Nothobranchius furzeri: one gene and its partner. The protein of the gene in region 2 binds, or shares a complex with, the protein of the main gene of each other region. Links are inferred from orthologs where the notes say so. Each region holds a gene or a part of one and is shown on either strand. Other genes may lie near its edges.

Evidence for each region. Proteins that work in one complex are often made in the same cells at the same time.
Region 1: taf1a (region 2) and polr1c share a complex: the UniProt entries of both Homo sapiens proteins name them as parts of the pol I pre-initiation complex. The link is inferred for Nothobranchius furzeri from reciprocal best matches to the Homo sapiens genes TAF1A and POLR1C.

Annotation. Positions count from the first base shown.
Region 1 is NC_091752.1:59,333,115-59,340,404, forward strand, and holds part of polr1c (DNA-directed RNA polymerases I and III subunit RPAC1), read left to right. Parts: intron 1-584; coding exon 585-692; intron 693-3,197; coding exon 3,198-3,330; intron 3,331-7,290. UniProt on the Homo sapiens protein: DNA-dependent RNA polymerase catalyzes the transcription of DNA into RNA using the four ribonucleoside triphosphates as substrates.
Region 2 is NC_091742.1:8,328,694-8,335,983, reverse strand, and holds part of taf1a (TATA box-binding protein-associated factor RNA polymerase I subunit A), read left to right. Parts: intron 1-1,041; 5' UTR 1,042-1,618; coding exon 1,619-1,662; intron 1,663-1,920; coding exon 1,921-2,075; intron 2,076-3,537; coding exon 3,538-3,701; intron 3,702-3,833; coding exon 3,834-3,947; intron 3,948-4,025; coding exon 4,026-4,224; intron 4,225-4,372; coding exon 4,373-4,491; intron 4,492-5,881; coding exon 5,882-6,040; intron 6,041-6,166; coding exon 6,167-6,233; intron 6,234-6,382; coding exon 6,383-6,506; intron 6,507-6,653; coding exon 6,654-6,808; intron 6,809-7,290. UniProt on the Homo sapiens protein: Component of the transcription factor SL1/TIF-IB complex, which is involved in the assembly of the PIC (pre-initiation complex) during RNA polymerase I-dependent transcription.

The DNA.
Region 1 (7,290 bases), on a different chromosome or scaffold from region 2:
ATGCTGCCATCACTCCACGCACGTGGTCATCGTGCACTTTTCCAACACGGCAATGATCCAAAACACACATCTAAAGCTACTGTTGCGTTCCTGAAGAACAGCAGGGTGAAGGTGATTGAATGGCCAAGTATGTCTCCTGATCTGAACCCAATCCAACACCGGTGGGGAATTCTGAAGCAGCAAGTTGGGCATCACTCTCCATCCAGCATCCAGGCTCTAAAAGAGGTTCTTCTTGAAGAATTGAAAGGATAGATGTTGCAATAAGTAGTCAACTTGTTAATTCCATACCTAGAAGGCTTGGTGCTGTCCTTGAAAATCACAGTGGTCATACAAAATACTAGATGTAGTAGGTTTTGTTGTGGGGTGTATTCATTTTTGCTTCAACCAATGTTAGTAAAACTGAAGATTTTGTGATCTCAGTTATATTGTTAACCTTAATTTCATGTTATGGAGTTAAACAAGCCTTGTGAAATTTCTGGAAATTGTTCTTTTGTTCATTGAGCTGCTGACTAAATTTATACATTTTCAAGGTGTATTCATTTATGCTGAGCTCTGTACACGTGTTTCCTCTTTTGCTTTTGCAGAACTTCAGAATTGACATAGTGCATCTGGACGAAAGCAGTATGGAGTTTGACATGGTAGGGATTGATGCGTCCATTGCCAACGCCTTCAGAAGAATCTTACTAGCAGAGGTAACACCCACACATTTCCTGCAGTTTAGCTCAAAAAGCGTTACTTCCAGTCCGGTCCCTCTGTGTTTCTCGGGCTGTGTTAGCTCTTCCCCCCTCCCCCGGTGTTACGTCAGCATTCCAGTCGGTTCCGCTGTTGAAACGCGTTTCCCCACCACTGCACCACGTTTACCAAGCGGTAAAAACACTCGCGCTCATTACAATCTCGCTCCCGCGGGGCGCTCTGGTTTTGGTAGAATAGGAGCCACAGATCTAAGTTAGGGAAATTCCCGGTGGCCCTTTTTGAGTTTGGTGCATTATTATTTTTATATTTTTTTTCATTTATTTTATTATTTTTTTTTCGGGCCGTTGTTACTCTGTAGATCACCTGCTGCTGATGAGAGGATTTCTCCTGTCAGGAACAGGTGAGCTGCTGCTAACCGTAACCCAACAAGCTTCTGTTCCTAGAAACACGTTCTATGCCCAGACTCTAATGACCTGTTTTTTTACAACTTTATAATTAATATTAAGTGAATGCATTAAATCCACAGGTGGAAAATACGATTAAATAAGCCTGAATATTTTCTCCCACAGCTCAGCTCTATTAGAAATAAGCAGATGTCTGCTTCAGCTGGACAATATCAAGTATAAAAACGTTCACAGATAACTGATCTATAATGACGAAACAATGTTAATCATTTTAAATTTTAATATTGATTTCATTTCATTTCTAAGGTTTGGATGTTTGTGGACATCACTGAATTTTCTGATTGGTGTAAAGAATACACAATATTTTTAATAACAGGTCTGGATGTGGTTCAGTCTGAGGTCTAAAACTGCCCTGGGCCTAAAGCCCTGCAGATAGATTTAGTTTCTATAAACATAAACGACAAATAAACAACAGCAGCTGGATTCTACTTTGTTCCTTACATTGAGTCACATAGTTTTGCAACTTCTGTATGCTCACGTGTTCAACAGCAGCTCTGCCAGCTGATTGGTTCTTTAGTAACTAGTGACATCAGTGCAGTTCTGGTACTGAGCAGCATGGATGCATAAGAGGATTTAGCTGTAGTCGGTGTTCAAAATGGATTAAAGACAGGATAGGATATAAACGCAATCAAATATAATATTATAATGCTGTAAACATGTGTAGATACTTTATCATACATCCTCACCAGCCTGTAACTCTACCTTTTTTCTCAAAATGCACCAGACTGATGCTTTTAAAAATAAAATGCTCAAAATTTTCTACCAGGGGTGGTGGTGGTGAGGGGGGGGGGGGGGGTGGCATGCCCCCGGACCCCCCTAGAGTAGTTTAATACTCATCATCTTTTTCGTGTCCACACTCTGGTGCTGGTGCACACCTTGTGGTGGAATAAGAACTGGATATATATATATATGGTGTCCCACAAGGTTCTGTGCTGGGGCCTCTGCTCTTCCTCCTCTATCTGCTTCCTCTTCAGCACATCCTGAGCTTCTTCAAAGGAATCTCCTACCATCTTTATGCAGGTGACATCCAACTGTACATCTCCTTTAAGCCCCATGAGATGTCTCAGCTGCAGCTGTTACACACCTGCTTAGACTCTATCAAAACCTGGATGGCTGGGAGCTTTCTACAGCTGAATGAAGATAAGACTGAGATCCTCATCTGTGCCCCAGACAAGCTGGTTCTCAAAGTCAGGGGCTCTCTTGGTCAGCTTGCATCTCACACCAAACCTTCTGTCAGGGATCTTTGTGTGACCTTTGACCCAGCTCTCAGCCTGGATTCTCATGTCAGTTCTCTTGTTCGCTCTAACTTCTTCAATCTCAGGAACATCGCTAAGCTGAGTTCCATTCTGTCCCGTTCTGAACTTGAGGCTTCTCCACAACTTCATCTCCTCACGCTTAGTTTACTGCAACTCTCTTTTCACGTGTCTGAGCAGAACTTCCCTGAACCGTTTACAGGTGGTTCAGAAGCTTAGAGACGGAGCAACATGTCGCTAGCATAGCGGCTAATCGCTAGCATAGCAGTTTTACCAGTTATATTGATATAAAGATATAAAGTCATCTTGTATCTTGTTTAAAAATTATATAGATATTTTAAAAATATCAATTTATTGCCCAGCCCTAATATATATATGTATGCGCACCCATCCATCCCCCCCCCCCCCCCCCCAACAGCCAATGCACAGCACCAAAAACGTTACACCCCACCCCCCGTGAACCACGGCTGGAAAATTTTCTAGGGGAAACACTGATAACAATTTTCTTAGCCAGTGTGCAGACCCATTCAAATCTCTGGTGATGACGGAGTTTCTGCTGGGTCAGGTCCATTATTTATGTCTCTTTCTAATGTTCACATTATGGGATTCATAGTAGCAGTGAATTAAGGCTGGACTCATTCTCAGGAGAAAGAATCCAACATTTTTATAGCTGGACTCAACATTTTCTCCCTGATGCGATTAGGCAGTTAGACCTTTATAGGCAAAAATGTCTCATTGTATGTTTTTTGTTAATCTTTTTTATGCTTTGCTTTTATTTTGCCTGCAGGTGCCCACAATGGCTGTTGAGAAGGTGTTCATCTATAACAATACATCAATTGTCCAGGATGAAGTCCTTGCTCACAGATTAGGCCTGATTCCCATTAAAGCAGATCCTCGTCTGTTCGAGTTCAAGAATGCAGGTACAACAGTCAAATGCGCTCCCTCAGCTGCTTCTTACCCAATGCTGGGTAGGGAAGTGCCCATGGTTTTTACTACGCCCAATAATAACCTGTATTACATGACGAGCGGTGACGCCGTCATCTTGGATCGGTCCCCCCCTCCTTTCTGACAGAGGCATTGAAGTGTCAGCATGTTTAATCAACCATAACTCCTTCGATAGTAAGCTGATTTTGAAACATTTTTATTTTCTTTGCAAACTTCGCACATGCAGCTCTGATACAGGACACATGTTTTAGCATAGTGGGTTTGCTTGGGTACATATGTGACTCTTGTTCAGAACTTAGGTGTGGAACTTAGGCTGAGCGGGTGTTCCAGTAATCGGAAGGTTGCAGGTTCGATACCGGCTCCGGACAGATAATTCTGCTGTTGTGTCCTTGGGCAAGACACACCTTGCCCTCTGGTGGTGGTCAGAGGGACCGGTGGCAGCCTTGCCTCCGTCAGTGCGCCCCAGAGCAGCTGTGGCTACATTGTAGCTCATCACCATCAGTGTGCGATTGAGTGTGTGAATGGATGAATCTGTAGTGTAAAGCGCTTTGGAGTCCTTACTCTGAGAGGTGCTATAAGATAAGATAAGATAAGATAAGATGACCTTTATTAGTCCCACAAGTGGGAAATTTGTTTCGTTTACAGCCAAGCAAAGTAAAAGTAAAAGTTATGCTGCAGAGGGAGAAAAACATTAAAATACAATAAGACCGACCGCAATGAGATAAAATAAACTCAATACAATAGACAGTTTATACCTTAAGAATGGGTTAAAAAATAATAAATAATAACCATACTAGATACAGCTAGAAATACAGAGTACACTTCATCCAACAGCTTTGTTGTAGAGTCTGACAGCAGTAGGGAGGAAAGACCTACGGAATCTCTCTGTCCCACACCTTGGGTGCCGCAGTCTCCCACTAAAGGAGCTGCTCATGGCTGTCAAAGTCACCTGCATCAAGTGTGGGTCATTCATCATTTATCATTTAGTTTCAAAATAAGGATCAGTCACTAAAAATCAAACAATGAGAGTCAAAATAATTAAAGTATCATACAAAATGTGTGTGAGATCTATGGCAGGTATTTTTAAAAATATGAAAGAGAAGCAGAAAGCACTACTCAGCCATTTTAATTAACAATTTAAAGTATATATTACTTGTCGATAAAAACTGAAATAAATGGGTGTTTGTGTAACTCATTTACAAATAGTGTCAATATCATTCAAAGAGGTGCGAGAGAATAAGAATCAGAAGGGTTTTATTGCCACATGTGTGAGAATAGCATTAGGAAATTGCTGCGGTTCGTGGTGCAAGAAAAATAAATGATAAGCAAAAATTAGAATAAAGAAACAAAACCAATTAATTCATAATAATACAGGGAGACAATAATTAAGAATGCATACTTTTCCATAGTCACTTCATTTTTAAGCCCTTTTATGGATATTTTAGAGATGAGATTTCAACCATGATGAACTGCTCTCAGACGCGGGGTTTTCCTGCCGCCTTTAAAGGGGCGCTGGTCAGACCCCTGTTGAAGAAGAGAAACTTCAGACCGATATCTGACTTACCATTTGTAAGGAACATTTTTTGAAAAGCTTGTTTTAATTCAGCCTGGTGATTTTGTTAATGCACATCATGTCTTGAGAAATTTCAGTCTGGTTTTAGAGTAAAGCACAGCACCGAGACGGCCCTTTTAAGAGTTTTAAATGGTCTAAGAATAAATTATGATGCACAGAAAGTAACTGTTCTGGTTCTACTGGATTTAAATGCTGCCTTTGATACAGTGGACCACAATATTCTTTATATAAAACACAATATTAAAACACATCGGCCTGTCTGGTGCTGTCCATAAATGGTTTACTTCTTATCTCACACAGGAGTTTTGTGCTAAGTTTAGACCTTTTTATTATAGCTTTTAGCTGAGTTTAATCTATTTTAGCCTGTTTAACCATCTTTTATATATTTTATCAGTGTTTTATTACTTTCTCTTTTACTTAAATTACTTATATTTTCATATTATTTTTAACTTGTTTTAACCTGTATTCATTATTTGCATTTCATTATGTTTATATACTTAATTGTTGCTTTCTACTTGGTTATTTTTTATCAGTGTGTTTTAATTAGACTTTTATTTATCTGGTGTTAATGCTTAATTTGGTTTTTAATTTGTTATCTTAATCTTAATCTCAAATCAACCACTTCCCTGGGAGAGGCAGTCGGCTGTGGCTGCCAGGGTGCTTCTCGTGCCTCCTCTTGGTGCCCGAGCTGCTGCTGCCGGTGCAGTTGGCTCCTTTTCCGTTTCTTTGTTGCCTATTGCATCTGTACTCAGCCAGTTGTCCTTTCACTTTTCACTGGGCGACGGTGGCACAGGAGTTAAGTGCTCGCCTCGCAATCAGAAGGTCGCAGGTTCGAAACCCGCTCAGTCTGTCGCTGTCGTTGTGTCCTTGGGCAAGACACTTAACCCACGTTGCCTGCTGGTGGTGGTCGGAGGGACCGGTGGCGCCAGTGCTCGGCAGCCTCGCCTCTGTCAGTGCGCCCCAGGGCAGCTGTGGCTACATCGTAGCTCATCCCCACCAGTGTGTGAATGGGTGAATGACTGATTGTGTTGTAAAGCGCCTTGGGGGGTTCCAGGACTCTAGAAGGCGCTATATCAAATACAGGCCATTTACCATTACCATTTACTTTAGCTTTTGTGTGTGCGTGTGTGTGCGTGCGTGCGTGCGTGTGTGTGTGTGTGTGTGAGGGGTGGGAAATTGACTGTTTTTCATATTGAACAGCGCTTCGAGTTGCACTCATTGCATGAAAAGTGCTTCATGAATAAAATTAGATTTGATGAAAGGATATGTACACGTATGCTGATGACTTCATGATACACTTACTGTTTGAAGGAAAACCAGGAAGCTGAAGAGTAAACTCCTTCTCTGGGTCTCCCAGTCTGACACAGCCCAGACAGATCCTAATAAATCAGCTGGAAAAAGTCCTCTTCAGCTTGTTGGCTAATGGCGCTTACACATTAGCGTCGGCGCAGTTGGAGTTTGGCGGGGCTGGATGGCGTGAGTTCGGTCTCGAACGGGTGGTCGTGTAGTGTTCACATATAAATCAGAGGGACTTCTCAAGAATGCGGAAATCTCCAAGCCTGTGGGCAGAGTTTAGTACGCGTGAGAAAGTCTGCTCCATAAGTTAAAGAAAAGGCGAACATGAGCTGTGTTGCTTTTGGAGACTGTGAACTACATTATTTTATTAATTTGCTGTGTGTGTCCTCGTCATCTTGTCCCAGAAACCAGCTGGCCCGCTGAGCTGAGAGAGAGACGCCTGTCATCTGGTTCTGCAGCTCATGGGTACTTCTGTGATCTGGAACCGACGTAAAACCTGCTCGACTGGCCCGCTTAGCCGCGCGTCTCTTCTGGTGGTCGGTTCTGACGGTGATCTGAGCTCCAGAAATCCGCATTTTTAAACTGCCACGAGTATCTGGAGGCCAGAATGGACCTCCCTGACCCGGTACCGACCGATGTGGGCTACAGAAGTCCGTCTTTTCAGCTGCACAAAACGCCCTCAGGCACGGAGATAGAGGCATTGTTTCTCTTATCTGGAAACACGTGGGCTTAATGTCCAGACAGGCTGGAGTTGGTACAGACTTCACACACTATAGTTTATCCACATGAACACAATCCAACACTAGTAAACACACACTGACTGGATAACATGACCTCGCTGCCCTAAAACTACCCACTCTCCACACTGAGCTGAGGCAGCCTAGCTTCTAACTCCCTTTGGTTACGTCAGAAGTTCAGATTTAGAAAAAAATAGCTTTTTTAGACGCTTTATTGAGAAAGGCCACTTTTTAACTAGAAAACTCTGTTATGTATTTTAAAACCAAAATATCAACATTGTGCATTTCAAATAATATATTTTGGATGAAGCGGAACAAGTGATAATGTT
Region 2 (7,290 bases):
CGTAGGTTGTTTACATATCTGGGTGGCCTGGTATTTTTCCGGGCTAACCAAGGCTCATTCTCAGCCCTCTTCTCGAGGGGGTCTGCTTCAGGCCGACCAGGGCCAACACACCCACTGCTGACAGCAAATTCACACCTTCCATTAGAGCAAGCCTCTGATTGGTGGGTAGAATCAGCCCACATGGGCTTAAGGCAAGGATGTGTGGAATCAACCGGGCCAGGCTGGGGCCGACCCGGTACAGATGGGAATGGCCCATTAAAGACGCTGAGAATGCGGGTTCTAGGGTGGTATTTGTCTGGGTCCCTGGACATACTGGAATTTTGGGAAATGAAATGGCAGATGCATTGGCCAAAGACTCCATCCTTAGAAATAGCATTGATCATCATCTTCCTCTGGGAAAAAGAGAATGTTAATAGTATGTGCATGCAGTAACTATTTAAAAAATTTGTGGCAGAAAGAATGGGAAGGGGAACGTAGAGGAAGACTTTATTTTCCTTGTCAGCCGTCAGCTCATACTAGTTGGCAACCCTTAACCTGTTGTCGTAGAGATGAAGAGGTGATTGCCAGAATGAGATTGGGGCACTGTGGTCTGGCGGCATGCTTATTTAGGATTGGTAAACATGTAGATGGGTTGTGTGAGTGTGGTAGTTCCAAAACTGTTGTTCATGTATTGTTGTCATAGCCTGGCAAGCCAGACTAAATAAATGTATTATTTAAGATAAGGATTAGCAAACTTTGCAACACAAGGATTTGGTCTAGTTCACTAGGCTATTGTTGTCATGCAGGAAATACAATAGTGAGAAGCGGCAACTTTTTTATGGGGCTGGTGGATTTGGGGATGGAATCTTTTTCCTTTTTTTTTTTCGATTAGTGCAAATTCCCAATGTGTATATAGCTTGATTGTTCAATTCCTTCATCACACTGGCATTTATTCGAGGATATAATGTAGCAGTAATATAACTGTGGTGGGCAGCATTGCACATTCCAGCGTATAGTCTGCTGGAAATTTATTATTATTATTATTATTATTATTATTATTAGAAGAAGAAGAAGAAGAGGAAGAAGAAGAAGAGGAAGAAGAAGAAGAGGAGGAAGAGGAGGAAGAAGAAGAAGGAAGAAGAAGGAAGAAGAAGAAGAAGAAGAAGAAGAAGAAGAAGAAGGAAGAAGAAAGAAGGAAGAAGAAAGAAGGAAGAAGGAAGAAGGAAGAAGAAGAAGAGGAGGAAGAAGAAGAGGAAGGAAGAGGAAGAAAGAAGAAAAAGAAAGAAGGAAGAAGAAGAAGGAAGAAAAAGGAAGAAAGAGGAAGAAGAAAGAAGAAAGAAGGAAGAAGGAAGAAGAAGAAGGAAGAAGAAGAAGAAGAGGAAGAAGAAGAGGAAGGAAGAAGGAAGAAAGAAGAAAAAGAAGAAAAAGAAAGAAGGAAGAAGAAGAAGGAAGAAAAAGGAAGAAAGAAGAAAGAAGGAAGAAGAAGAAGGAAGAAGAAGAAGAAGAGGAGGAAGAAGAAGAGGAGGAAGAAGAAGAGGAGGAAGAAGAAGAGGAAGGAAGAAGGAAGAAAGAAGAAAAAGAAAGAAGAAGAAAAAGAAAGAAGAAGAAGGAAGAAAAAGGAAGAAAGAAGAAGAAGAAGATGGAAGAAGAAAGAAGAGCAGGAAACAGAAAACTAGCAGGATGGTAGCCCTCGAGGACTGGAGTTGGTGTTCACCTGCTCTAGTTTAGATGTTTGTGTTCTACATTTAGAATTAGATACTAATAGAAAGCAGTGCCATGTCTCTCTAAAAGAATATAGAGTTAAACAAATTCTAGTAAATGGCTCTAGTGTTTAAATGTATGGAAATATTCATGTTTTAGATGCCTTTGATTATGTGTACGTTTCACACAATCAGCTTAACTGGAAAATGGCTTTTTCAATGTGTTAATTTCTTTGTGCAGGTGCCAGAATTTCATACTGAGTATGGCGGATCTGGATGACCAGGTTAGAGACTTCTCAACTGTCAAAAACCTGGATGATGGCAGTGATTCTTCAGACAGAAGCTGTAGAAAAGGGCATAAATCAACGCTTCCTCTGGTTAAACCTCTGTCTGTAGGTGAGAGGCACAGCACACTTACATTCTTTTCTTTTACATCTTAGTAATACTAATAAAGAGACTGTGCAGACGTGGAATGTATAAACCTTTTCCAGATCCGCTGATAGGACCTGTGTCATGTACTACGAAGAAGGATTAGTGGCTTATCGAGGTGACTTTAGGTTGTAGTTTGGTTAATTTCTAACTGATGCTGGTACAGGTTAGGTTACCAGATAAGAAACCACATATTGGTGTACCGCCTCAACCAATCCATTCTCAAAAAACAAACAAACAAACAAAAAAAAAAAAAGCAATCGGTTTGTAAAAAGGTGCTGCAATGGCAGCTTTAAACACACCTGGAGAACTAAGGGGTTGCTCTTCAGAATAAGATCATCAACTGACATTATATTCGTATACACTTGAACAAAGTTTTATGTTCTTTTATTTGTATATTTTAAGGAATAACTTCAGACGCATGTATTTCATCACCAGTAAACCATCCGTCCATTTTCAGCCACTTATCCAGAGGCCCAGACTTCCCTCTCCCCAGCCACTCGGGCCAGCTACTCCGGGGGACTCCTAAGGTGTTCCTTGGACAGCTGTGAGACAGTCTCTCAAGCGTGTCCTGGGTCTTTCTTTAGGTCTTCTCCCAGTTGGACGTGCCTGGAAAACCTCACCAGGAAAGCATCCAGGAGGCATCCTAACTAGATGTCTGAGCCACCTCAACTGGCTCCTCTTGATGTGGAGGAGCAGCGGGCTCACTCCAAGCCCCTCCCAGATGGTCGAGCTTCTCACCCTTTCTATAAGGGAGAGTCCAGACACCCTGCAGAGAAAACTCATTTCGGCCGCTTGTATCCACAATCTCATTCTTTCAGTCACTACCCAAAGCTCGTGACCATAGGTGAGGGTAGATTGACCGGTGAATCATTGGCTCAGCTCTCTCTTCACCACGACAGATCGGTATAAAGCCCACATCACTGCAGATGCAGACCAATCCGCCTGTCGATCCCGTGTTCCATCTTTCCCTCACTTGTGAAGGAGACCCCGAGATACTTGAACTCCTCCACTTGGATCAGGACCTCATCCCTGACTCAAAGTAAACTTTGTCCTAAAGTCAAAAATTTGTATAACTTAAATTTTCCGATTAGTGATGTCTAAAAATGTCAAAATTACTATATTTTAATGAGTACAGTCACCAGTTTATGTTAGCAAGTTGCAGAGTTGCACTGTTGGGAATTACTCTTAAATTTATTACACTAGAATCAAAATGGACTTACATTAAAATGCAAAACCAGGCTTATTTATGATGAGAATGAAATTTTTTTTGTAACCTTCAAACATCAGTTAAATAAACTCCCAAAGCAAACAGATGAGCTTGCTTTAAAAGTGGAGAAGAGCTGCAGTAAGTGTGAGTATTTTTATATTTAAAGAGCATAAATGCCTGGAAAGGGTTTTAGTGGTCAAATAATATGAATGTTTTCAGAGATGGACAAAGAAACTGGGTTCAGACGAAGTGTTCAGATGTGTTTGGAGCACATCAGAGAAGCCATGCTGCGTCATAGATGGCAAGAGGCAGCGGACTACATGGCGTCCTACCCTCAAATCCTAGAGGACCGGAACGGAGCCACAGCTGTGCTGTATAAAGAGGTGACTTAACTTTGTTTTATTATATTTGTTTTGAACCAACATTCACACTGAAGTTTTTATATACAAAATCCTCATAAAATATTTGACCACATTTAGCTTTTTAATTCTTTATTTTGTTGATCTTTACTCCAGGTTGTTTGGAGAATCTGCACCGAGATCCTTCACCATCATCCCAGAGCAACGATGGAAAGTTGCAACATCACCTATGAACGGATGAAACACTCTGGGGTTAAACTTTACCTGACGGTATGCTGGCCGACATACTTGATGCAATGCACTTTATTTAGCTTTTTTATGAAAACACCGTTTTGTCTGTGCGTTTAGATTTGCCTGGAGCATTGCTTCCACCTGCTGCTGAATGGTCAGATGGAAGAGGCAAAGCAGCAGCTATCAGTCGCCGAAAGCTGGCGATATGGGAAGGAGTCGGCCACTCAGCATCACAAGGTTCAACTGATCCAGGCCTACAGGAGCTTGTTGGATTATATAATCTGGTGTGACAAAAGGCGCACACGCTCTAAAAATAGTAAGAAGCGGCATCCTTTATGCCTGTTTGACTTGTTTGATTTGTGGTCCTATACTGCCCTCTAACGGTTAAATAAAGTAACTGCATGTGCAGCAGACAAGCTGCAGAGCTGGCTGTAAAAAAATTATTTCTTTTTTTTTTTTTTCAGATCCATTTGACTCTGATCACCAAGACTTGCATAACTATTTCAGACAAGCTTCTGTGCATCTACAAGAGATTTTGAAAAGTCCAGGAGTCTGGGATCCGTTCATTCTGAGTTATGTCGAGGTAAACGCTCATCTGTCGCAGGCGTTGTAAAACAGCACGATTGGATTGATTAAAATGCAACTGCAGTGTGTTTTAAAGTTTCATTTAGAAGGCGGCCAGAGCTAAATGATGCTAGCTGACACAAAAATAGCGACGTGCATTTTACAGATGTTAAGCTAAAATTTGTTGGTAGTCGAGTCATTCACATCAGAGCCCTAACAGATCGCATGAGTTTGAGTTTGATCTTGTTGCACCTCCTTAAGTGTTGGAGATGCTAATAAGGAGCTTTTGGCCCAGTGTTCTAACGGAGCAGCGTCCAACTATGTCATGTTATGTTCGAGGAGCTGTGAGTCAAGCATACAAACGACAAAGTACAAGGAAAATGTTTATCGACTGTGTTCATAATTTTTTACCACAAAAATGAACTGATGATTGTGTATCACACTTTTATTTTACTACCTTCTAATTCTAAACATTTAGAAAATAAAGCTTTAAAATTTATCAAATGGACAAGTCAAGGGATCGTACGGTCGTTTTAAACAAGTATGATTATCTGATGGACAAAGTGGCCTATCACATTGTCATATAGCTTAAATGTATGATCTGACAGACATGTGCTGTCAGGCGTATGCTGTAACACGCGTATGCTAATCTTGACAACGTATGGTGATTGGACAGAACACCATTTCACGCCAGTTTCTTTCCCAATTCTCCTCCTGACCATCTCAAGGATCTGCCTGATTATTGTAACAGATTTAAAGATAGTTTTATCAGATATTCCTGCCGTGTGTGGTGTGTTAATAGCTCTCTGGTCTGCTCGGAAGGACTGCAGGACTGCTCCCGATCACAAATCGGGATATTAAACGTGATGGAATGTCTTGGTCAGACATTCTGCCGGTTGGATGTGACGTGTAGCCAGTCTGAAATTGTGATCTCGATTGGTCTGAGCTAATCTTGAAATATTTGACGATTTTCTCATCTGTAGTGTAGATTTTGCCGTGTAGCCAAGCGCCAAACACTAAAACTGGTAAATGTGATTTATTTATTTTTTTTAATGCCACACGTGGGAGTCTCTTATTTTGAAAATCATCCAACTTTGGCAGTGTGAGTGTCCTGTCACAATGTCCCGCTTGATGATGCGCACTGGCTACTTGGCCAAGGGGATGTCCCTTTGGCTGACTGGTTAGAGCGTATGACTCTCACCTGGGAGTCTGGGGATCGAATCCCGCCCGGGCCCTCGTTTCTCCAGCTTGCCACACTACCAGGACCATATCGAAGCACTTACCAACTTCTGCAGTCTTTAAGTTGTTGTAATGGTACTTTGTTTTTTCAGACACATCTTTTCTGTTATGCTGACCGTTAATCCCATCGTTCGACCGTCCCTGCCTCTTGTCTCACTGTATTTTGGCAGATGTTGGAGTTTTACGGGGATCACGTGGAGGCTCTTAACGTCTTGAACAACTACGCGTTAAACAAACGTTTTCCACCCAATCCAAACGCACACGTGTTTCTGTATCAGTTCCTGAAGAGGCACAACACTCCTGAGAAGAAGCTGATCAAAGTGTTAAAGGTAAAACAGCCCATGAAACTTATATTTTACAGATGATTATATCTCATATATTCCTAAGTATTAGCACTGATATTTAAGGACACATCTGCTTGCAAAACTTCCAAAATAACCTGTTTCCTGTTGTAGAATCTCCATGTTTTAGTCCCGAGCCACGAGTTGATGCTGGAGTACAGCTACTTCCTGCTTCAGTCGGGTAAAGTTCGCCTAAGAACACACTTAAATGAATAAAATAATAAAAACACATTAAATGAGTGTATCTTTTCAGCTTTTTAACTCATGATTTTGTATCCATATAACAAATGTTTGACCATAATTAATTTTATGTTTTGTTTTTGTTTTAAGAGAAAATAGGTGACTCTCAAAAAGCTTTAGGAGTCCTCCTTGAGATGCTGGACTTTGCCTGCTGGAGGAGCAACCTGGACGTGTGGAGGTGCTTGCAGGCCGTCGTTCAGGACCTGAGGTTACGGTACGCACAGATTTATGAAACTTTTTACATTCTCATTAGTTTTCCTGTCATAAATAGGAGCTAAAGCCTGATTAATTTCCCTCTGGGATTAATAAAGTATCTTTGATTTGATTGATTATCTGAGTTTTTGCTTGGATTTTAAACCAGAGACGACTGGGAGAGAATTGTCCAGGAACAGATGGCTTCAAGACAAGATTGGTGGCCTGTTCTGCATTTCACAAGCTTCCACGCTGCTAAAGACTCAAAGGAAAACCCCCAGCTTTGGAAAGTGAAGTCATCGCTACTTAAAATCCTTTGTCCAGGTGAGTAAATGCACGTGAGCAGAGGGCCAAATGCAAAAGTCATCTTAGAAAATTCTTTAATTTTTTCATATGAGCGAAACGTCTGTTTCAAAACATCGTAAATCTTTGTCTCAGCTTTTTATTTTTATTTTTTTATTCATCTTAAAATAAAACTAACTTTTAAAAGCTGATTGCAGCATCTGATTATCTGTAACTTCATTATCAATAATCTTTCAAATAACCGTAATTTCCTTTAAAATTTCAAGACGGATACATTTTCTAACAGTTTGTGAAATTATTTAAAGTTTTTGTCTCATAAAACGTTTGTAAATAAATGCACGATGTTTCCTGCCATCATGCTAGGCAGGCCCAAACGTATCGTGAGGGTCTGCTGGGAACGTCTGGCAGAGTCTCCTGTCAGAAGGAGCTTCAATTCTCACCTCCGACAGAACTTCCAAAATGTTCCGGGGGAGGCGGGGGACATTGAGTCTGAATGGACCCTG